Drosophila melanogaster: one gene and its partners. The protein of the gene in region 1 interacts with the protein of each later gene in a pairwise test. Each region holds a gene or a part of one and is shown in the gene's direction. Other genes may lie near its edges.

Region 1 (7,442 bases):
GGGGGTGCCACGTTACTTACCTTCTTCAACTGGCAGCCACCTAGTGATTTAAGCTCGGCAAAAAATGCTGCCGCACATGAACATGCAACTAATGAGCTGAGTTATTTCCAGTGGGCTGGTGGGGCAGAAGTTACCAGGTTTCTGGAACACGCCACGGGAGCTCAGCTCTTCCGGTGCGGGTGGTTTAAACTCTAATTGAAATTTAGATAGCTGCTACGTGTGCCAGCCGGAAAATCATCGCCAGGTGTCACGGTAGGTGATGAGTTAAACAGCCGGAATGGCGAAATGCGTGCGGAAATTGGCCCCGGAATGCCAAAGGATCAAGTGTCGACACCAAAAGAATTTCCAGGTCAAAACGCTGGGCTGGAGATGGAATGCAATTAAGACAAAGCTCTGAAATTTATTATACGTCTTTAAAAACAGTCAATCTTAAACTGTAATGAAATTAAAGGTACAATGCATCTTAATAACAACCCATGTTAGAAATGTTAGAATTGCTTCTCTTATCAGAGTCCCGAAAATATGAGTTTAATGTGCTTTATTTAAGGAAAAACTAGCGTTTAGCTTGGTAGCTTATATTTGTGTTATTGAAGTAATTACAATATCAAGATGATTTCAGTTCACTAACAAGTATGTATGAAGGAATTATCTGGCATTTCTGAGGCCATATTTCATTATGGAGAGCCCTGCAGCTCGTTTAAGATTTGGCTATTAAAAACGGCGCCATTGATGCGAATATTTATTGTGGCCTGGCTTTTTCATAATGTTGGATTATCTAGGCACATGTCCTGCCAGGATTTATGAGCCAGGAATAGCACACAAGAGGTTGAGAGCGACGCTGCGGGAGGGTTGGCCAAAACCAAAACCAAGAGTCAGCTTTAAGCCGTAAGGAAATTGAAATCTTAAGCTTTATTGTTTTACTGGCCCCTCGTCTTTGCCATTCAGCTGAGGATCTGTGTGTGCTCGACGCGACGCATGCAAAGTGAAGCAGGAAAGTGAATAAAACTGCAGCAAAAGCAATTTTCATAAATATTTAATGGATAATGGCGAAAATAAGCGCAAGGAGCAAGACACATCGGCATGATGAGAGGGCAGGGAAATGGCCGTCCGTCTGCTTCTACCCATTCCCACTACCATTTTCCGCACCATCTCCGTTCTCGATGTATTGTTTTGTTTGTGTAGATATATATGTGCCCCTCTCATACAGGCACTTCACCCACCAACCCACCGTATTGATATGTCAGCATAACATATGTGGGCATTTCCCCGAGTGTGTGTTCGGCAATCTCAGCTTTTAGTTTCGGCCCAAGGCCCAGTGATTCTCATTAAAATTACAACACAAATAAAACGAAGAGGGAAGGTGGATGAGTGGTATCGACTTTTTTGCTTACCTTGTGATTTATTGGCTTACAAGAATTGCTTAAAAGTTGATCATTTTTTTTAAATTTTGTCGATTTGTGTTTTATAAACTACAAAAATTAGTTAGGAAAATAAGTGAAATGCCATAATGATTTACAAAATAATTGAAATATTATTTCCGGAAATCGGCATAACCAAAATGTTAGATACTCCTTTTGCCTGCCGATTACAGCGTATGAAAAGCCGGCGAAATGAGGGTAAAATTCACGCGAAATGGAGCAGCCAGCGAACGTGAGAGCCCGTCCATTGTCTTTATCCTGGCGCTTTTCTGCTCTCTGTTGCTCCTCCTGGTCGCTGGAGTCCTTTAAGTGTGCCCATTACAGACGGCAGAAATCATAACAATAAAAGTGTGACGGGACGGAAGGACAGAGGCGGTTGGCGGCTGGCGGATGGGCGACGGGCTGTTTGGGGGCCAGATAGCTCCCCCCACTTAATCGATGATGATGAATAATTGATTCGCTGCGATGCGCCCAAGCATGGAAATGAAAATGTCGGTGCATGCGGGGAGCGGCTTTCTGCTTCTGTTTCTGTTTAAGTTTCGGTTTCAGTGCTTCCCTTTTCGCACGTGTGTGTATGTGTGCCTGTCTGTGTATGTGTGTCGGCGTGTCCTTCTGTGTGTAACGAATGGCAAATTTCAGGAAGCGGAAATGGCAATTGCAAGCGATGGGAAAAGGCAGCAGAAAGACAACGACTGAGGCAAATGTGAAGTTGTGCGCTAAATGAAATGCCAACACAGCAACACGGCCGTGCAAAACGGAAATAGCAAATGCGAATGACGCTGGATCGTTGGACGGTTGGCTGGCTGGATGGCCGAAAAATGGTGTTGGGCGGGGGTCTTGGGATGACAATGGGTGTCCTGGGCAGAATGGGCAGACAGGTGCCAAGGCAGACAATTTGCCGGTATTTAAATTCTATTTTAAGTTCTGTTCAAGCGCGTCAGGAAGCAAACGTAAGGAAATGGTTGACCGTGAATGGTGGACACGTTTCCCACTAATATGGCTGGAAAGCTTAAGGCTTCCTTTTATATATATGATACATATTATTTAAAATATAACCATAGATTTTATAAAATATTATAAATATTTTATTAACACTCATAATATAAATTGCTTAGTTTTGTTTACTCGCCACACTCATTGATGTAACAAAAATGACAAGTAATTTTGAAGTCATTTCATTTTTCATTTGCTTGGGATTAACATTTTTCTTAAAGGACTTTGAGCGTGCATAAAAAATTATCTTTAGCACCATAAAGAACTATATTCACTGCAATTTAAAATGAAAATAAATCTGATCGGGTTAAATGAAAATCGACTCCAAAAGAAAAAATCCTATTTCATCAAGGAATATTCTCTTATTTTTTCTTTTGAATAAAGTTTCCTTTTCCATTTGACTCTTCACCGTCGTTCAGTCAGGGCTTTTTTTCCCCAGGCTACGTGTTTAAAAATATAATCGTATTGAATATTTAAATGCTCGCCAGGGCAAAAGTCGCCAAATACGCTGGCAAAACTGGACGGGAATCAAAATCAAATGCAATGCCTGCGGCTTCGGCGAATGCTGGCTGCCTGTCAGCCTGGCACAAAATTAGATTTAAATATTTTGGCATTTCCCATCAATTTTCATATAATGCAACCCCATCCTTTTCGCTGGGATGCAGGTCCTGTTGCATGGAGGAATGCTGATAGTGAGTGGGATTCGTCTGTGGCAAGTCATTCCAGCCCTACACAAGCGCACACATCGATGTGGATTGAAAGACAGGCGCACACAACCACACATGCTCAATCATTTATGCAGCAATCAGTGCTGACGTCTTTTCCACACGTACGATTACCGGCATAGAGAATCGAGCCCTACTCTCGGTTATGTGGAGCATATTGGGAATCGAAATTGAGTGCGGGTTAACAATGAGGCAGTTGAGATTGCGGCAGCTTCTCTCGAACTTCTGTTGCTCGTGAGTTTCTTGAATTTAAATCAATGGCCCGGGCATCCACTGCGTATGAGTAATATTATACAAGGATGAACAGGTAATTTAATTTAGCTTTTCGGAACAATTTTTTGTTCACAGAATGCAATCAAAACATGTATGAGATAATATACATTTAAACAATCGTTGTCGAATTATTTATTTTATCATGATCCCTACTTTTTTATAAATTGACAATCATTTAAGTAAACAATCCTTTCAGCAAAACAGAAATAACTCCTTTTTCAAGGTGCAACCGTGAAGGACGACTGCACAAAAACTCTATTGGATTATTTGAAGGTTGAAATCAAATTAAGTCAAGTGAATAAATTGACTTTTAGTGCATATAAAAATCGCAAAAAGCGCAAATAAAAATGAAATAAAATTGCGATGGATAAAAAGTTTAAAAGTGAATCCATAGAAATTCATCGTTTGCTGATGACGAAACATGAAAAAAGGAAACTTAAAATTGGTTATATATACGAAATTAACAAGGGAAATTAAACGATCACATAGCAAAGCATTTTTTTGGAAAGTAGTCATTGCATATATTGCTTTCTGAGAAACTTCGTATAAATTTAAATTATTAAAATAAACCGCTAGAAAAATAAGTTAAAATTTGATATCAATTAGAATGGATAACGACAATATGCTCGACTTTACAGACTTAATCAGCTGCAAGGACTTACCGAACATAACTCTGCACAATATCCGTCCCATTTACAGTATAAAGGTTTTCATGTCCGAACCTAAAAACTCCAATGTCTCTATTGCTGAATTAATCAAACGCCAGGAAGTGTCTGCAGAGCAATGTCGCAAGGCACTTAAAGTCATAAAGGACAGACTTCTTCTGAAAATGGCAGCGTTGCAAGAGCTTAAGAAGTATCTGCTGGATTTGCATTCGGAGATCAAAAAGCCCGGTGCAGGGACTCGTTTTGTGACCAATCAGGAGAAAGTTAAATTGCATTTCCTAGACGAGACGGAAATCAGAGAAGTCGAATTGTCTGACGCCGTAGAACGTTGCAATATAAAGCTGAGCTCGCTTTATTGCGAAATCCTGGCTTTGGACAGCGACATGGGCAGTGTCGCCTATTTGGAGAGGGTCGCCCAGATCAACAAAGACTTTATCATGGATTGGCATAAGACTCAGAGGCAGAATAAGACAAGCAACATCCATTGTTCCGGCCAAGGCGTCAAAAAGACTTTTTAATTTGGACTGTTTTAAACTTTACATGTTTCACTCATATGCAATTATTATCGCACTATTCTGGAAAATAAATATTTATCGCGAAAGCAAATACAAAATGTTTTATTACACCTCTCCGAGATTGAATAGTTGAATTTCCAGCAATGAAATTAGCCTTAAGTAATGTGCTCCTCTCTTAAATCCTATCCCTAGGAATCTTTTTTCCCCCTCGACTTTTCCTGCTTCGTGTCCTTCCGTTTCCCTTTTCTCCGTTTACCTGTCACTGACAGCCCGCTGGCCGCTTCATCTTCATTCCCCGTCCATGAATAATCCCTGCGACACTTGCGTTTCATGGCTTTGCATAGTTAGGACCTGTTAAAGGAGGGACCTGGTCCTGGACAGTGTGCTCAGGCATCTCCTCTCTTAGCCAGCGCTTAGCTGGACCTGGGGAGTTGAATCTGTAGCTGCACAGCAAAAAAAATTTTAAAGGTTTCAAAAAGATCTCAAAAAAATGTCCCAAGAGTTTTAAACTCTATATAGAATAGTCTTGAGTTACGTGTCCCGTTCAGGTAGTATTTTTAATACCATTTGCTGGCAAGTTACTAATATTTTCTCTGAGTGTTCAGTTAGCTGGGAACCGGAGCAGGAAGCCAACAACAGGTTGCGTGCCAATGCAGTTTTTCATCGTGAAATGTCGGCGCTGATAGCGATTGTAATTATTATGCTGAACTGCGGGTATGTATGTATGTATGCAAGGGGATTCGCTTTTACGAGAGGCAGAATGGTTCTATTTCAGGTCCTGGCCACTCTTACTTGTTTCCCATTCTTTTTCCGTCTTGTTGCTATCCACTCTCCGACGCATAAACACCGCTAGTTATGCAATAAATAAAATGCAATTGTTGCGTCACAAAAGCTACATAGATGGCAGTGCGTTGGTCAGAAGGGGGGATTGGCTTTTTGGCTCTGGGCTTTTGCCGCCATGTTTGCGAACAACAGCAAGATGGCGCCCCGCATCCGTTATAGCCGAACATCCAATTCCGCGCTCACTTTCGCTGCCTCAGTTGCTGGGCGTCTGCTTCACTTCCGGTTGGAAAAGTTGTTGCATTGTGTGCGTTTTCGTGGAGGTTCCACATCCGCTTTACCAGCTCTCCCAGCTACTCTAGCTTACTTGGCACCGCTTTAATTTGACAAACCATCGCATTTAACGGCCCGGCGTAGTTTATGCTCCTCGAACAGGCAGCGACATCAAGGCGAAAGGTCAAGGAGGTGGCATAAATAATGCAGCGAACAACGAAAACGACAAAGTTGCCAAAGACTTGGACTAACCGGCTGCTGTTGCTGCTGTTTCTGGCCAAAACTCACTTGGCCAGCATAGAAATTGCAGTTTACAGTTGCTAATTGAGTGTGCCTAGTCTGTGCAGGTGGCCTAATGTTGGTAATTAGTGTGAGCCAACTTTGCCAAAAAGATTCCGGCACAAAGTTGCCCAGGATGGGCTTTTGTCAATTGCATAAGTTGCCGTCGTGTCCGGAAAATCTATGTATGAGATTGGATAACAATGAATTATATTTAGCAAACGAATTTCAATTAAAAAAAACACCTTAATTGAGAATGATTCCAGTCTTAGTATAATTTGCTAGGTGGTAAAGGCACCGCTTGAATTTAAGTTACATATTGACTATATTATTATTTTACTCACCCTGATTAGCGTTAAACACCAAAGTGGTTCACATTTTAGCACACTATTATCCTTAGCAATATGATTTAGTGCTTTGTGGAATCTGCTGAATATACATGGAATGACTTTCAGGTGGAGCACATTAAAGCCCATACAGTGATATGCACTCTTGGCTAACTGAAATAGCATGTATAGGCCTTGCTGTGCATTCGGTTTAAACTCGATTAAAGCCACGCACAACGACATCGGAATAATGCAATTGTTTCGGGTATATAGCTGACCAGTTTATGGGCAATCCGAGAGATTTCGAGCGTCTGCAGGCAGGACCAAGCGATCCAGGACACGTGTGCGTGCTTTGTCTGGCCAGAGAGGACAACGAGGAGAGGTTGCCACATGTGGCAAATTAACTTTAAATTAAGCAATTAATTTAATTAGAGCACGGCGAGTGCACAGTGCGACCCCAAAGATTTGCCGCACACGCAACAGTTGCAATTAAGCAGCCTTCGCACACAGATGTCCCCACACAAATACAGGCGTAGTCACAGTAGTGCACACCCCCACTCACAGATACACATATTAACGTAAAACAATGCCGTTTCAGCTGCAATTGCATTTTAAGCGCATGCGGAAATTACAAACTCAAATTGATAAAGCAAAACCTGTGCACATGTGTGGCCCTGGCATATGGCATATGGCAGTAATAAAAATCTGGTTATATAAGGTGAAAAATTGGCTTACGCCTGGGACTCCAGCATGGCCAAAGAAATCCGAGTGCCAGCACATATGAAATCGGAATGCAATTCATTTCTCCATTAACCAATTAAACGCAATTCATCAACTGACGTTCGCAATTTGCAAAAAAATAAAGAAATAACAAAACTATTAATAAGGGATGTAAAAACTTTTACAATTTTAAATTTCCACTGACAGTCAACATTGAAAGGGTTTTTCAGTCAAACGGAAATTTGTTTTCAATTAAGAGTTGATTTAAATTTAACTGCCTTTTCATGACGAACGCATGAAAAATCAGTTATAAATACCTTCTACGGTAATATGCAGACGTTAAACAAATGTATGCTAAAACTTTTAATTTAAAACACCATAAGCTTCTTAACTTTCCTTTGCTTGCCAAATTCTCAACGAAAATCACAAGTCTTACTTTAATGAATATTCTTGCACTATTAAGTTCAAACAAAAG
Region 2 (7,806 bases), on another chromosome or scaffold:
ACACCGCGACTTGGCAAGGTCGCACCACGCTTAATGCCGACGCTTCGTTGCGAAATTTCCATATTTGCGTGCTTTGTCATCGCTTTAGCCCCAACACCCAACACCCACCACCCAGCACCACCCACCGGGTGCACATTTCCATTCCCACACAATGGAAATGGGTAGGAAAAAATCATGAGTTTGTGGTAATCACCACTCCAATTTAGCGGCGTATTTTGAACTTTTGAGCTATAAATACGCAAACACGCAATTGTGCATAGTTTGCCAGCAAATGCAAATGCAAATAAATGTTTGTTGATTGTGAAATATGTATGTGCAATCGATTGAACAGATGAACAAATGGAAATTTATAGTGATGTTATTGCTTGCCGGTTAATACAAAATTGTACGATTACTTATGCACAAGACTAACTAAAAAATGGAATTTTAGTTGATACATTTAAATTATTTGAAAGCGCGCCTTTTCATATTTCAATCGAATGGCAGTAAATCAATTTAAGCCCATTGGATAATTACGGTTATTGCCTGGCAGGTGGGCAATAATTTTGTAATTGGAATGAACCGTTAGGGCCGAACAGATCGAAGTTCAGGGGGAAGGGGGTGGCTGGAAGGCGGGTGAATTCTACTGCCATTGCATGACATGGAAATGGAATTAAAATGGATTGAATGCCAATTGCAAAACAACAACAGATGGCACAGGTCTGAAGTGCACTCGAAACAAATACATAGTAAAAGTTATAAAGAAGCTCCTTTTAAACTATAAAGGTATAAAGTATAAAGTATAGAGTATATAGAGCATTAGAATTTTTAGCTTTACATTCAGATGGTGAAATTCGCACAGCGCACTTTTCAATTTTCTACAGTTATTCAAGTTACTTATGAATTTGAACGTTCAAATCGCTTGATTTTTTAACTTTGGAACACCTTATCCTTCAATATATTATTTCTTTCACTATTTTCCAGCAGAAACTTGTGCCAGTTCATCTATTTACACTGATTATGTGCACTTTCTTTGAGTTGCACGGATGCACCGGGCGCGTCACTGGCGACCTTGACATTGCCGCCTATCAACTGCAATTGCAACTGGCTCTGCAAACAGTAAACTGCTATTAATATTGATTTAATTTGCCGCAATGTTCCAAGGACGGATGAGGTGAAAAAACCGACGGACAGGGCGAATTATCGCGGCCCAAAGCGGGCATTTTCTGCACGCTCAGTGAGTTCCACTTGTTGTTTTCCTGAAGCCGCCAGCCAGTGAGTTTGGGGGTGGTTGCTGCCGCAAGTTCAAGGTCGCACCACCGTCACACAAATCCGGGCTAACTCGTTTCAAATTAACGCCACCCGCTCCAGTGAGTGTCAAACTGTGCAGATGAATCAGCCCGTTTTCCATTCAATGGGCTAAAACCAAATCCAATTGGAAACGCGCTCAGGTGTGAAAGGGGATGCCACTCTAGTAATTAACGAATAACTGCAATAACCCAAAAACACACGACGCTGGGTTGTGCATGTGTGAGAAATTAGAGCTCCAGGAAGTACAATAACTTTAAAAGCATAAGTTGCACTTAAGCTATTGCAATGTATGATAAAAAAAAACATGATTCTCGTCTTTTTCTACCCAATTGTTTAATTGAAAATATTTAATTTTTTAAACATACTTTAAGCAGACTTCTATTACAAACTTTCGCGCTCTCTTCACACACATTAAGTTCATATATCTTAAGTGTTTAGCTGTCGTTATTATAGAGCGACCACTGTACGTGTGCCAACGTTTCTAGCACGTGTGACTGTACAAGTTCTGGAAGTAAACAAATGTGAGTGCGAAGCTCGTTTGGCAAATTTTACCTATTGCTCTTATTCTTTCATTCTCTCTCCATTCGACGACCTTCTTGGCATTCATAAAAGAGTTTAAACTGTGAAGCTGTGTTGTTTTTATTGGGTTTTTTCCATCACACGCGATCCGAAAATGGAATCACGAGTTTGTCGGCTGATATTCAAAACGTGAGCACAAAAAAAATATGAATAGAACGCTTCATCGAATTTCACATATGAATGTATGAACATATACATATGTATATACATACATATATGTATGTACATATGTTTGTGCTGTGTGCCTATAGAAATTCCACTCCCATCCAATACATTTTTTTGGGCACTTGGCAACCGGCAAATATGGCTATTGAATATTTCTGGGAACTGCTTGAAATCGATTGAATTACTATTTTCAGTAGTAAAAAGTAGGTAAAGCTAGGAAAGCCACTTGAAAATACATAATATTGAAAGCTAAGCAGTTATTTTAAACTATTTATACATAGTTTAATTGGGTACTAACTACCTCATGATAAATAAATCAAAGGGGTAGGTGGTTTATCTAAGTTTCTTTATAATTCTGAAGATATTTATATAAGCAGGTGTTCTCACTTGCATGAATAGAATCTCGTTGAAAAGGGGACATTTCTTATAATTTCTGAACGGAAATCCAGAACTTTAGTTTGAGAGACACTTGACCAGGTGCCATCCGAGCGAAAGATGCATTGAATCGGAATGGGAATCGGTCCACTTTGCACTCACACTCACTCCGTGCGGCGCCGAGTGTGTACACGCTATGACCTTGCGGGGTTGCTGCCACCCACCGCCCACTTTGAACCCAAACCAACTCATTCATGACCCAGAGCAATCCAAAACGAAATCCACGCCGTGATATCACGTTGTGCTGAAAACAAAAAATGTATAATTTCTTTGCTTGACGTAAGCGCAAAGATCTGATGTTCGGAAATTACGAAAAACGAAATGTTTTTTTTTCTTCGAAATTCTGCAGCATGCGTATACACAGATTTTTGGGAATTTTGCTGCTTGTGTCGTTGGGCTATTTTAAAGTTTAAATGCTTATCGGAAAAGCTGCTCCATTTCGTTGGCTGTGCGCTTGTTAAATTTAGTTCCCAGACGCAAAAACTGTACGTACACAACAAGATGCCGGAGTTTTTCTTCTACCCTTAGTACTTTGCTCATCACAGTGCGACTTGGCTATAAACGATTGTATTCTAATTTGAATTTTCAAAAGAGCAGGCGATTTCATTTCACAATATTTCTTTAGCTTTGCAAAGCGTAAGCAAGTGTCATGATAACGAAAAGTGGATTTTCCCAGAAATATTTATAAATAATTTTGATAAGTTTACACAGAAAGTAAACTAAGTTTTTAGCGGAAGTGCAATATAAACAACATTTTGATTCTCGAAAAGAGGTTATCTTTAAAATCAAAAACAGAAATCGTTGTGAGTCCACTTATAAGTAAAAACTTTTGGAAACTGGAATATGTTGGGCCATAGAGCGCTTATTAAATGAATTTACAAAAATTTGCAAGGATGCAACTGACGCCTTAAGTTAGGCTTCATTATTTGAAGCCAGCTTGTGAGTCACTGGAATTTCATATTCTCTCGATTTTAATACGTTTTACATGACAAAGACAAAAGATGGGTAAATTTCACAATAGAGGGGGGTGGGGCTCTTTGTTGTGGGGAAGTTAGGGCGAGAGCGAAAGAAAGGCGAAGAAAGTGGGGAGCATGATGGCGAGGGGAGTGTCTGGAAGCTGCCAGAAGAGACAAGAGAGCGGGAGAGTGCGCATCCTCTCGCTCTTTTCACCTTCTGTTCGGTGTTTCTGTTGTTGTTCTTGTTTTTGGTGTGGCTGCAGCTGCGAAGCAACAATAACAACCACAACAGAGACTCGAAAACAGCTGCACACGAAAACGGTGGCTGTCAAACTGTTTTGCAAAATTTAAAATGTAACTGTACTTGGCAAAAACAATACATTTTGCTGTATTTCTGTATGTCGTAAAAGATCTTTCGACCTGGAAGCTGGAGAACACTTTTTCCAGCCACTTGGCCACCACCCCGCCTTTGAACAAACCAACCAATCGATTGGCCAGCTTATTGATTTTTCTATTCGAACATTTTGCATTTGTTGCTCGTTTCGGTCTTTTGCTTAGTGTGTTTGGTTCGAAAAAAGTATTGGCAATCATGTGGGCATCGACATACACACTTTTTTTTTATCACACCCACGCGAAAAACACGCGGCGCCAGCCAGACTAAAAGGATACAGGCAGCATATCCTGCACACACACACACACACGCGCGCACAAAAAAGCTCGCCAGGATCGAGTGGTGCAGTTGACCAGCAAACCGCAGCTGCTGACAGCCAATTTTGAGTAGCGGAAACAGTTGGAGCTGCTGCCCCGAAATGGGTACTCACTTGATCAGCAGCACTTTTTCGAATCAATATACCCGTCTATTCAATTTTTTTTTAAGCGGGACGAAGTCGCGCGCAACCACCGGCTTGCTGGGTTTGTTAGAGATGTGCCGATAACTCGCCACTGCGATAGCTCGAGTTGCTACTTTTTGTTGTACGCCACGCGCTTGGGATTTTAGCGAAATATGCGTGCCACAACTTAGCTTGTGCCGCAACCCCACACAGTGCTGCCACCTGTGGGCGAAAAAGTTACGTCTACATGGTGTTCTGGTCACACTGCCCCCGCCGTGACAAACAAAATAGAAAAAAAAATAAAACAAAAGATAAAATTTTAGCCTCCCCCCTTTGAGAAATAAAGGGTCATTTGAGGCAGTTTAAATCGAAAAGAATCCATAGGCACGGAGAGCCCAGCACACATAGAATGTTCCACTTCAGCGGCTTCAACATGATGTTCCCGGAGGGACGCAATTTTCATGCCAACTACAAGTGCTTCTCCGTATCCATGTTGCCAGGAAACGAGCGAACCGACGTGGAAAAGGGCGGAAAGAGTGAGTTACGAGTGTAGGCTGGACAGAAATTATGTGAACAACACATTCCATCCACAGTTATTATGCCTCCCTCGGCGCTGGACACGCTCACCCGCCTGAATGTCGAGTATCCAATGCTGTTCAAGCTGACCAACGTCAAGAAATCGCGATCCTCGCATGCCGGCGTACTCGAGTTTGTGGCCGACGAGGGCAAATGCTATCTACCCCACTGGATGATGGAAAACCTGCTGTTGGGTGAGGGCGACATACTCAACATCGAGAGTGTCTCGCTGCCGGTGGCCACCTTCTCAAAGTTTCAACCGCACAGCACCGACTTCCTGGACATCACCAATCCCAAGGCGGTGCTGGAGAATGCATTGCGCAACTTTGCCTGCCTCACCAGGGGCGATGTCATAGCCATTAAGTACAACAAGAAGGTCTACGAACTGTGTGTCCTGGAGACAAAGCCCGGCAATGCAGTCAGCATCATTGAGTGCGACATGAATGTGGAATTTGAGGCGCCAGTCGGCTACAAGGATCACTCCGAAACGCAGGCATCGGGCTCTGGGCAGCAGGGTGCTGCTGGAACTGTTGGCGGCGAAATCGCTGGAGCCACCAACGCCATACTCGAAGAGGTCGTGGAGACCTTCAAGGGTTCCGGCGTACGTCTCGATGGTAAGAAGAAGAAGGAAAGCCAGTTGGAAACGCCGGTCGTTAAGAAGGTGCTAGCCCGCGGCGTTCCAGACTATGATTTCCAGTTTGGACTCATCCGTTTCGATCGCAACATTCGGCCTATCAGTGATAGAAGCCAAGAAGATGATGCCGTAGCTGGCAATGCGGACGCTTCCGATGCGGAGAGCTTCCACGGCACCGGTTTCTCGATGAAGAAAACGCGCAAATAGCTCTGTATCTCTAGTTCTAGTTATATATTGTGTGACACATAGAAATTAAAGGAAAAACCTCACAGGGGCAGCGTCAACTTGATGGCCTCCTCCTTGGGCGGAGCCGGTGGCGATATGGTGGTCATGGGCGGCAATCGGCGTATCTTGCGTCCGTGTTTGCCTTCCTTGCGCTTCCACAGACCGGAACGTGGTCGATTGCCCATCTCCCGCATCCGCTGGGCACTGCCCACATGCTCCTTGTTGTGTTCCGGGTTGGACAGGCGACCAACCGTCGCCATGCAGGTGCGCTGGAAGGCGAACTCCCGCTTCGAGGGCAGCTGCACCACCACCTTTTCGTCGAACTTGCGCAGAATGGTGCCGAAGGTGCCGGCGGCATGGATCAGGTGGCACATCTGGCCGGGGTTCTTCTCCAGACAGTGAATGCGTGTGCCCACGGGCAAGGCGCCCAATGGATAGGCATCGCCTTCGTTGGGACGCACTATGGGATCATACAAAAAAAAAAAATTATATTGGCATAACTGGTTGTTTCAGAGCCAGTAAAATTTCTAGATTCCATGCTCAGTTTAAGACTATACTCAGAGGATTACTTAGAAAACGTTTAATACTCCCGATGAGTAACAGTAAGTAAATTTACCCGGAATCCTAGGAATAAAGCGCGAGGTCTTGAGGATATCGCCAGCCTTCATGTTCTCGGTGGCCAGGATGTACTTCAGCTCATCGCCGACGGCAACCAGGGCCACTTTGGCGGTGCGACAGCCATCGCGTAGCACCTCGAGTACCAGTTCCTCCTGGGCGCCCTCCGTGGGACCATCCCGCACCCATTTAACCCAGCGATACTGCTGTTTGATGCCTCCGCCAATGCCCTTGGCCACCAAGCGACCGGAGACGGGATCCCGACCAGCCAAATGGGTGATCTTCAGCGGCTCAACGGTGTACTTCTCCGGAAAGTGCACGGTTCGTCGGAATTGCTGTCCGGCACCAGGTTTTGGTTTCTCCACCACTTTGGTTTTGCCGCGCAATTGCTGCAGAAACGCCGGCGCCGTGCGAAACGGCGTTTGTATAGTCAGCGTTGTGCTCAGCAAACGTGTTACACTTTGCATTTTCGATAGTTTTATTTGAAAAATTAAATAGAACGAAAATATATGCAAACTGTTACAAAATCGAAATGCGGCTGAAAACAGCTGTTACGCGGCGTTGCCAGACCACGAACGGGCCATGCCTGATTTCGGGCGCTAGCGTTGCCAGCATTTTGCTCGAACTGATCTCTTCTTCTTCTCCTTCACCGCGCTGAAGCAATAAGAATCGGGAAAACCGCATTAAAATCGCTGAAAAAGTGCACAAATCGGCTTTAAATTATTGCCCAATTACTAGTGTTACGTGCATATCGAGAGATTTCATAAATTGCAACAGCCAACGATTTTTTCCAACAAGGTACGCAAAATAATAAAAATAAACAAGACGAACAGAAAAATAATATACACACACAAACACGCAGCGAAAAACGTGTTGTGTGCAAAAAAAAAAGACTGAAAAAAAAGAACAACAAAAACAGTTCGAGTTTGATAACCAACGGCGAAAATATAAACAGCAAAAGAGAGAGCGAGAATTAGTAGTAATAAAAATCAATAGCAGAGTGAGCGGAAAATCAGCTTAACCAGCTAAATGGCATATAAATAAATATAAGGTTTTTATTTTGGAACACGCTCATCCAACACACATGCACACGCGCATACACGCACGCACACACACAGGAGTAAAGGTATGGGTGGCCTCAAGTGTGTGTACATATTTTGATGTTAGGTGGGAAAAAAGCGGGCGGCAAGTTTACGCAATCGCCGAGCGAAAAGCAAAGAGCAGCAGCTATACGTTGTGAAAAGTGTGCTTTTTGTGTGTTTACAAAGAGACAAACAAGACATCCGTCGTTTGTATGTACGTGCCTATGTATGTATGCGCAGGTGGAGTCGGTTGCTAGCTGAAAAATCAACGAGCGGCATTTTTTACGCATTTCCAATACGCCACATACATATATACGTGCGTCGTTTGCGCGTGTGTGTGTGTGGTTGTGTGTATTTTGGTGTTTTTATTTATTTATTGTGCTTCTCTTTCGTCGTTTGCCGTTACGAGTGATGTATGC
Region 3 (7,385 bases), on another chromosome or scaffold:
GTTAATTTTTTTCGCTAAAACCCCACCAATAAATATTTGGAAAGTTAATTTCATTTAATGAGCATTAGACACTAAGCGGATTGTGCATGTTGTAAAGAGCAAATTTAATTTGCAATTAAATAAAACATATGACTGCAATTAGTCGTCAGATAAATTCTGTGCAACCAGTGAAATGTTTCGTTTTTTACCACATGAACTTCAACTGGCCTTAAAATCATTTTAAATTGTTCTATACTTGAAAATTGTTTATATTCCATCAAAACAATTTTTTATGAAATGGGTATGATTTGATAACTCTAAATATATTTTGGACTAATTTAATTTGGACGCCAGCGTCTGCTGATTTTTTTTAAATTCAATTGAATAACAACTATAATTTGGCACGGTTAGTGATTTATATGGACACATTTGCGAATATTTTTCATTTAAGGCCCCCTTTGCCAATTATGATAATTAAAATCTAACATTTTATGAAAAAAAAAATCGTAAAACCGCACTTTGCGAGCCGAATTATTTATGTTTTTAATGGAAACAAAGTGGAAATTAGTATGCCTAATTTATGAGATAAACGATCGGTTCTAATTCAATTTCGTGCCATAAGGGCTTAAAAAAACCGGCAGCGAAGAGTGATTTAAATACCAGTCAATCCAGTGACCCTGGCAAAATTGTTACCGAGATGTGCTTTATTTGCATCAGTATTAAATGCAATTAATAAATAATGAGCACACCGGCATGGCGTGTAAACTCAGCAGAGAAGTGGAGCTGTGTCCGTGACAAGTTGTCCTGCACGCTTAACTTGATGTGGAGACAACAAGTGACCGGCAGGGAAATTAGTTACGGTGTCGCACAAGGACAAGACCAGGACTCAGAACTAATCCTTCGTCCTCCGACTGGTGGCCATATGTGTGTGAGTCAGTGCCTCGCATGCCAGATCCGTCATCATTAGTTGAATATGTCACAACAGACACTTGGCCCAATTGATTTAGTGTCATGCACTGAGCTCAACAGTTCACTTGCCTTCTGCTGCCATTTGGCAGCTATACTCGTCCTTGTACACGTCTTCCTTTGCCAGTTGTTGGCCGACATTCCCCGTTGACACTCTACGGCCAAAGATCGATGGCGTACAGAAATCAACGGGAAGTGAATTTCAAACAGTTGCGTAATTAACTTGGGGGCTTCATTAATCAAACACGCAGGCAAACATGAGAAGCACTTGAAATGGAATTATATATGCCAAAATTGAATATGCATTTTACATTCGGCTAACAAGATTAACTGATAAGCCGGATCTACGATTGTCGAGATTATTTTGTGTGTGGGCGTGACAATTATGGTTGTTAGAGTGGGCGTGGCAATCTTCTGAAAAGCCTGCCTACCTGGACTTTCGTACTTTTACAGTTCCCAAAATTAAAGCGCTAAAACGGACAGATGAACCGAACAGATAGACACGGAAAAGATCCTGATGAATATGCATAAGACACTTACCTGTTACAAACTGTGCAGCGAACGAATCTACTATATCCCTTTACTTTGCGAGTACGGGGTGCTGGGGTGGATTTCAAATGTTCATTGTTCTATAAATATTACTATCCGTATTAACTACCTGATTCAATATAGCTTACAGAGGCTTAGATGTTATTAAGCACGTGTATAACAGACAGAAACAACCAATAGCTTACGGCTTAACATTGGACGCTGCGTCTCGTCCTGATGAATATTCATGATCTCCGGGCATCCTTGCCGACCACTTGAAAGTTAGCCTGCTCTGCAGTTTGTCCGCCATGCCGAAATTATAATTCCAGCTCGCTCGTAACTCGCACAAACGTCAGTCTCATTAATTTTGGGCAAGTTGCAGTTTTAAAATTTAGTGCCGGCCCCCAAGTTAATTAACACCTGAGCCTCGGCAGCCGCCACCAAAGTGGGCGGGAAATGGGCTGGGAAAATCGAGCTGGTTTCAGCCACTTCAGTCACACTTTTGTGCTCGGCAGCCGTGTGCACTGACGCAAAGCGGAAGTGGCACTTTTCCCAGTTGAAGCTGGAGCGGAATTTCAGAATGGATGGGGGGATGGAAAATGGGAGCGGGGAATAAGGAATGGGTAATGGGGATCGGTAGCTGCCAGCAGCAGGCGTATCGAAAACCGAAACTTTTGATGGAAAAAGTTTGCAACAACAAACGCATGTTGGCGGGCAAAACAGGCAAGCTAAAAAGCTGAATAGCCGCGGCAAGGGCGCCTTTAAACCATCAAGTAAGTCGCTATAATTCGCGCGCACCGCCTCATGAATTTTTGATTCTTTCTTAGCATTTTTCACTCCGCCAGTCATTCTATCGCTTTCCATTTAATCTGAGTCTTAGCTTTGAATAATGAGCCCTGGCCAAGGTGCGAAGAACTGGGCCAAACTCGAGGGGGTTATCTATAAGCCGGGTTGATATGAAAAGTTCACACTGGGTAAGTAATTGCCTAATTCGAATGCATCGAAATGATAAAGTGAATTTAGTGTACCTTTCGAAAAATAAAAGTAACAATCTCCCATTAAAAAAACACAAACAGTAGACAGTCTGATTTTCGATATTATTTAAAAGTGAACACATTGTTGCACAATCGGTAAACAAGATCCGGAGTAGATCATCGAGCAAGATGTACAAGTTTTGTTGATGCGCTGAAGGAACTAAAAATGCCACAGAGGCAACTGCGAGTTTTCTCATATTTTTTTCCGCCGACTCTGCACTTTCTTTAAAAACCGCTGACTGATGCATGCTGATGACTTTGTCAACAACTTAAATTGTTTGGTGGCAATAAAGTGGACTGAAGTTTAAGTACATTTAGGACAGAAGGCAGCTTTCATTTTCTTCTAATGCAAACAAGTTAGCCCAGCTAAGCAGGATACATAATGCAATCAAATTAACTAGCGCTTGATACGTACTCAAAATCATTTTAAAATCCCTTTTTTAATTCCATCGTTTGTAGATGTATATGGACAGAACAATTAAAAGCATGCAAAAATTATAAAGAACACATAAGCCAACGAAATTAAAGTTTTGCAAAAAAGTATATGGCCTTGAGTCTTCCTCAGTTAATATTTCCATATTAGAGTCGTTATGAATCGCATCGGTTTGTTCTTGGTCCACTCCGTTGAGGGTGCAACTATCTCTATCCAATAAGACATCTTTTTCTTCACTTTAAATAAACAAATTATCACTTTAATGCTTTTGAAATACTTTCAAATAAGTATTATACCCCATTTTTTTGGAGGCACTCTGATCTTTTCAGCTTGAAGGCTCTGTATAAACTGGATGAAGGCACTCATCTGCAAACATGAAAAAATATTCAAGGGAATCGAATTCAAGAACGGAGGCACACTGTACTAAAATCTTTCGGATCGTATGCAGCTTGCACCATTAAAAATGATAATATATTGACAAATTTTTAAGGGACTACCGTCCTAAGTAAAACTATATAAGAGGTATCTGTAAAGTAAGTCTGAGATCACAAGTACATTCATTAGATAAATAACTAAAATTAGTGTAAGAAAAAATATGAACTAATAAAATAATTATTTAAGAAAATTTCTGAGAGGAGTAAACTCACCATAAGAACCCTAGAAAGGGTATTTGTAAGTAAAAACCAAAGCTTTCAGAGAATTTGACTGAAACTAAGAGACAACATTAAAGAGAACCTCTCAAGACGGAAATATATACAGCTGCGGTTAAAATAATAGCACTACTGGAGGTGGAAAGTTCATTTCCTAAAAATAATTATTAAATGTTTATATTTTTTAAAGTCAGATTGCATGAATAATAAGTACCATATGTTGGCTCTCTGAGCAAGAAATTTATGGTCTCTCAATGTAAAGGTTCTTTTTGTTTTTGGGCACTTGCTGCAAAAGTGCGCGAAATGAGGCGGTAACAAAAATAGCACTGACCACGTATTTGCTGAATAATAGAGTGATTGCTTTGGGTTTTTTTCGACAAATTTTGAAAAAGGAGTTGTATTAAAGGTTTTAATTGAATTTTTTCCAAACGAAGACCAAAAGTTCTCTAGTCATGGGTCGCGGCAAGCATTTTACCGTCGAAAAAAGAAATTTGATTAAAAACATGATCTCTAAAGGTAAAAAATACGCTGAAATTGGTGGCATTGTGGGTTGTTCAAGCTAAATGATCCGCAAAGCACTGCTGTTTGTCGAAAAGAACGAAACACGGCGAAGAAAGCCCTCAATGTCGCTTGGTTAGGCAAGGCAAGAAGGAGCCTTTAAAGCCGGCGACGGAACTGAAGAAGGAGCTTCAGATAGCTGAAAGCGGGGAAACTGACAAAAAAGAGAATCTCTCAAGACGGAAACAGAGTGCCAGAAGTATATAAGTACTGAAATGCCTAATATATGAATGTAAAACATTTATCGCTTTTAATAGATTGTTATCAAAGTTGATAGGGTTTGATGATTCGTAAGTAAGCATAAATTGATAACGTAGAACAAATTGATCTCTCTTCGCAATCTCTTACTTCAATGTGATTTTCTTGTCATTTTGAGACTCTTCTCCGCTCTCGTTTGACGGGTTTTCTCAGACTTATATAGTTATCTTATCTGAGTCACAAGCAACAAAAAGAAGATTGTCAGCTCTTGACGGTTCACTGTTTGCCTTGTTGTTGCCTCAATTACCACCTTCTGCCGTGGCGATAATAACCCAGACCCCAAACTGATTGGTAATCATGAAAAAGAGGGAAGGAAAAAACCGCTGAAAATGCCCGGAGACCAGCGAATCGCTCTTTAGTCGAGAGCAGAACGCGTTTTGAAATGGACACGGATGAGACTAAGGCTGGAACCTCGGGTCCGGGGACGTACCACGATGAGGTTGACTTTACCAGCGGATACGAGACTCAGTATAAGAAGGAGTACAGCCCGCTGAAACCGATTTTTGTACCGCCGCCGGATAAAAAGCACGCCTGGTTTCGCAACTGGTCCACCATACTGATGGTCAGCTTCCTGTCCGGGGTGTTTATTCTGGGAACCGTGATGCTGGTGGTCCAAGTTTTCACCGCCAGTCCCCTGCAGATCTTCATGATCGTGGCTATATATGTGGCTATAGCCGCTGTGATGATTTGGCTGGAGGTGCAGTCTATAAAAGTGCGGTGAAATAATATGTACGTGTCGTGACTAATTTAGAGCGTTATCGCACTTACGAGCTACGTTCTGTTTTCAAACAGTGGCAATCGAACTGTGTTCTGCTAGCAAATGCAAAGCTTAACTAAAAAGGAAGCGGCTTTACTGATTAGGCGCTAAGAACAAAAAATCATGATTTAATATAAGTTCAAAGTAAAGAAAGAAATCCCATAATCCATGTGTTTTATTTTTGACTAGACAGTGCTTTTAACGTTTTCCGATAATTCCGGTTCAATTAACTAATTATTTACGGCCCATAAATGAACGTAATCTAGAGAGCGAAACAAGGTGGCCAGATAAAGGGCTTTGTGTGAGATAAGCAAACAAAAGTGAACGAAAGAATCACGAATTCAAGCCATTTAACTGCAAAATAAATACGCATTTTGTTTGTCGATGTATAAAGGACAAATGTTGTAGTGACACATTAAAGCTCCATACATCACAGAGATTAACAAAGCAAAGTACATAAAAAAGATTCCCTTATCAATTAACTAATTAAATTAAGCACGCTAATTAAAAATTCATTAATAGCGGCTTAGCGATGGAGAGTGGAAATTCAATTATTTAACGCTGTTGTTTATTAAAGGAAGTGTCACAAACCGCATCTGCGCCGGTGTTTGGCACACAAAATTATTAAAATTATTTCCACTCTCACTTGAAAAAGAAAAAATACAACGAATTTTCAACTATGCCAGTTCCCAATGGAAATAGTTCTCTAAATATTTTCACATTTGCATTTTTCTAAATCACTTCTGTAATTGCTTTTCACATGCCACTGCTGGAAAAACTCCGACTCCCTCAGAATTTTCCATGTTTTTACAACAGTTTTCTCACTTGTGTGTGCCATCAAGTTGGTAAAATTCTAGTTTAATAGCTTGAAATGTTACGAACATTTGGTCAGCGTAAAAACAGCCGGACAAGCTTATTTCTCACTTGGAAATTCTAAAAAAAAAAAACGTTGTCCCATTAAACTTTAATTTCCGTTGACAATGGACGACACTTTTTGCTCTTTCCGTTTTTTGGCCCCACTCGAGACGGAGGCAACAGCTGACTTACCTTAATTACTCACAGGATTCCGAGCCGTGCTAATTATTTGCAGGGTGCACTTTTCAGACGGAGTGCAGAAGTCGCCAGCGCATTTAATTATAATGGCGCAAAGGGCGTCGAGCTTAGGCATTAATGCCATTTCCGGTCGCCGACCACCGGATGCCACGGCGCCGAAACCGCCCCGCGGACACTTTGTAATGCCATGGAGCAAAAAACCGGGTTGGAAATGATTTCACAAATAAAAAGCAGTAGCAGATATAACATTTTAATATCAAGGAAATGTCGTTTAAATACATACAACTGAATATTTATCGGATTTATGGCACTACATGCATACAAATAAAGTAATTTCTAGCATTGAGCAAAAGAATCAAACAAATGTGGCTATATTTGTAATTAAGCCCGCCATATCTTAAATCTTAATTCGAAACTGCCTTCAATACATTTTTGAATGTAGCGACTAAGTATGCAGTAGAATAAGGAAAAACGTTTTAACTAAAGGTGCCGCAAAGCGGTGCTTAAACCGTTTTGTGATAAACAACAATACAACCTTGAGCCAAAACAAGAAAAACGTTCGATATGCACATGCATTATTTTGCATTGATTTATTGCTCGATTGCCTGCTGGCTCAATATTGTACATAAAAGGCATTTAAACAAAAGCTGTCTTCCATTTTATTTCTGCCACTTTTTAAATATTTAAATCACAGCATTTTCCACAAGCGGGCAGCACCTCCATTATTCAGAGCTCGTACAAGCCGGGTAAAAAGGACACAAATGAGAAACTCAATTGCAAAGCGAGTGAAGGACAACTGTGGAAATGCAAATAAAATGTTTGGCTGCAACAGAAGCAGAATCCTAAGCTGCCCTCGGGAGCCAAGACATCTGACTCCACAGCCATGTTGGTCACTGCCAGGGGAATGTGTCTTAGAATTTGTTTAAGTAAATCTCACTTGAACGCTTTTCATTAGCCCACTCAGCAAGGACGAACTAGTCATTCCACCAGAAAATATAAAACAAGAATTGAAAGCATAGCTCCACCTAGCGGCGTATTCATGTGCTTTAAAAATTGGCCAGGATAGCAGATTGCTATTTTAAACCCAAACGTAATTTGAATAGATTCTGATCTAGAATAATAAAAACAATCCGACAACCTGATACATACTCCTTTTTTGAATTTAGTTC

The links.
Region 2: the proteins of CG15124 (region 1) and Ufd1 interact in a two-hybrid assay, tested with the Drosophila melanogaster proteins (one large-scale study listed by BioGRID).
Region 3: the proteins of CG15124 (region 1) and CG15152 interact in a two-hybrid assay, tested with the Drosophila melanogaster proteins (one large-scale study listed by BioGRID).

What each region holds. Positions count from the first base shown.
Region 1 is NT_033778.4:19,639,022-19,646,463, forward strand, and holds CG15124 (uncharacterized protein), read left to right. Parts: upstream 1-3,925; 5' UTR 3,926-4,016; coding exon 4,017-4,592; 3' UTR 4,593-4,677; downstream 4,678-7,442.
Region 2 is NT_037436.4:11,119,907-11,127,712, reverse strand, and holds Ufd1 (ubiquitin fusion-degradation 1-like), read left to right. Parts: upstream 1-4,496; 5' UTR 4,497-4,664; coding exon 4,665-4,791; intron 4,792-4,848; coding exon 4,849-5,672; 3' UTR 5,673-5,731; downstream 5,732-7,806. Other genes in the region: mRpL2 (mitochondrial ribosomal protein L2), read right to left, coding at 5,732-6,150, 6,307-6,772.
Region 3 is NT_033779.5:18,109,895-18,117,279, forward strand, and holds CG15152 (uncharacterized protein), read left to right. Parts: upstream 1-4,652; 5' UTR 4,653-4,788; coding exon 4,789-5,127; 3' UTR 5,128-5,326; downstream 5,327-7,385. Other genes in the region: CG44476 (uncharacterized protein), read right to left, coding at 2,948-3,176, 3,237-3,241.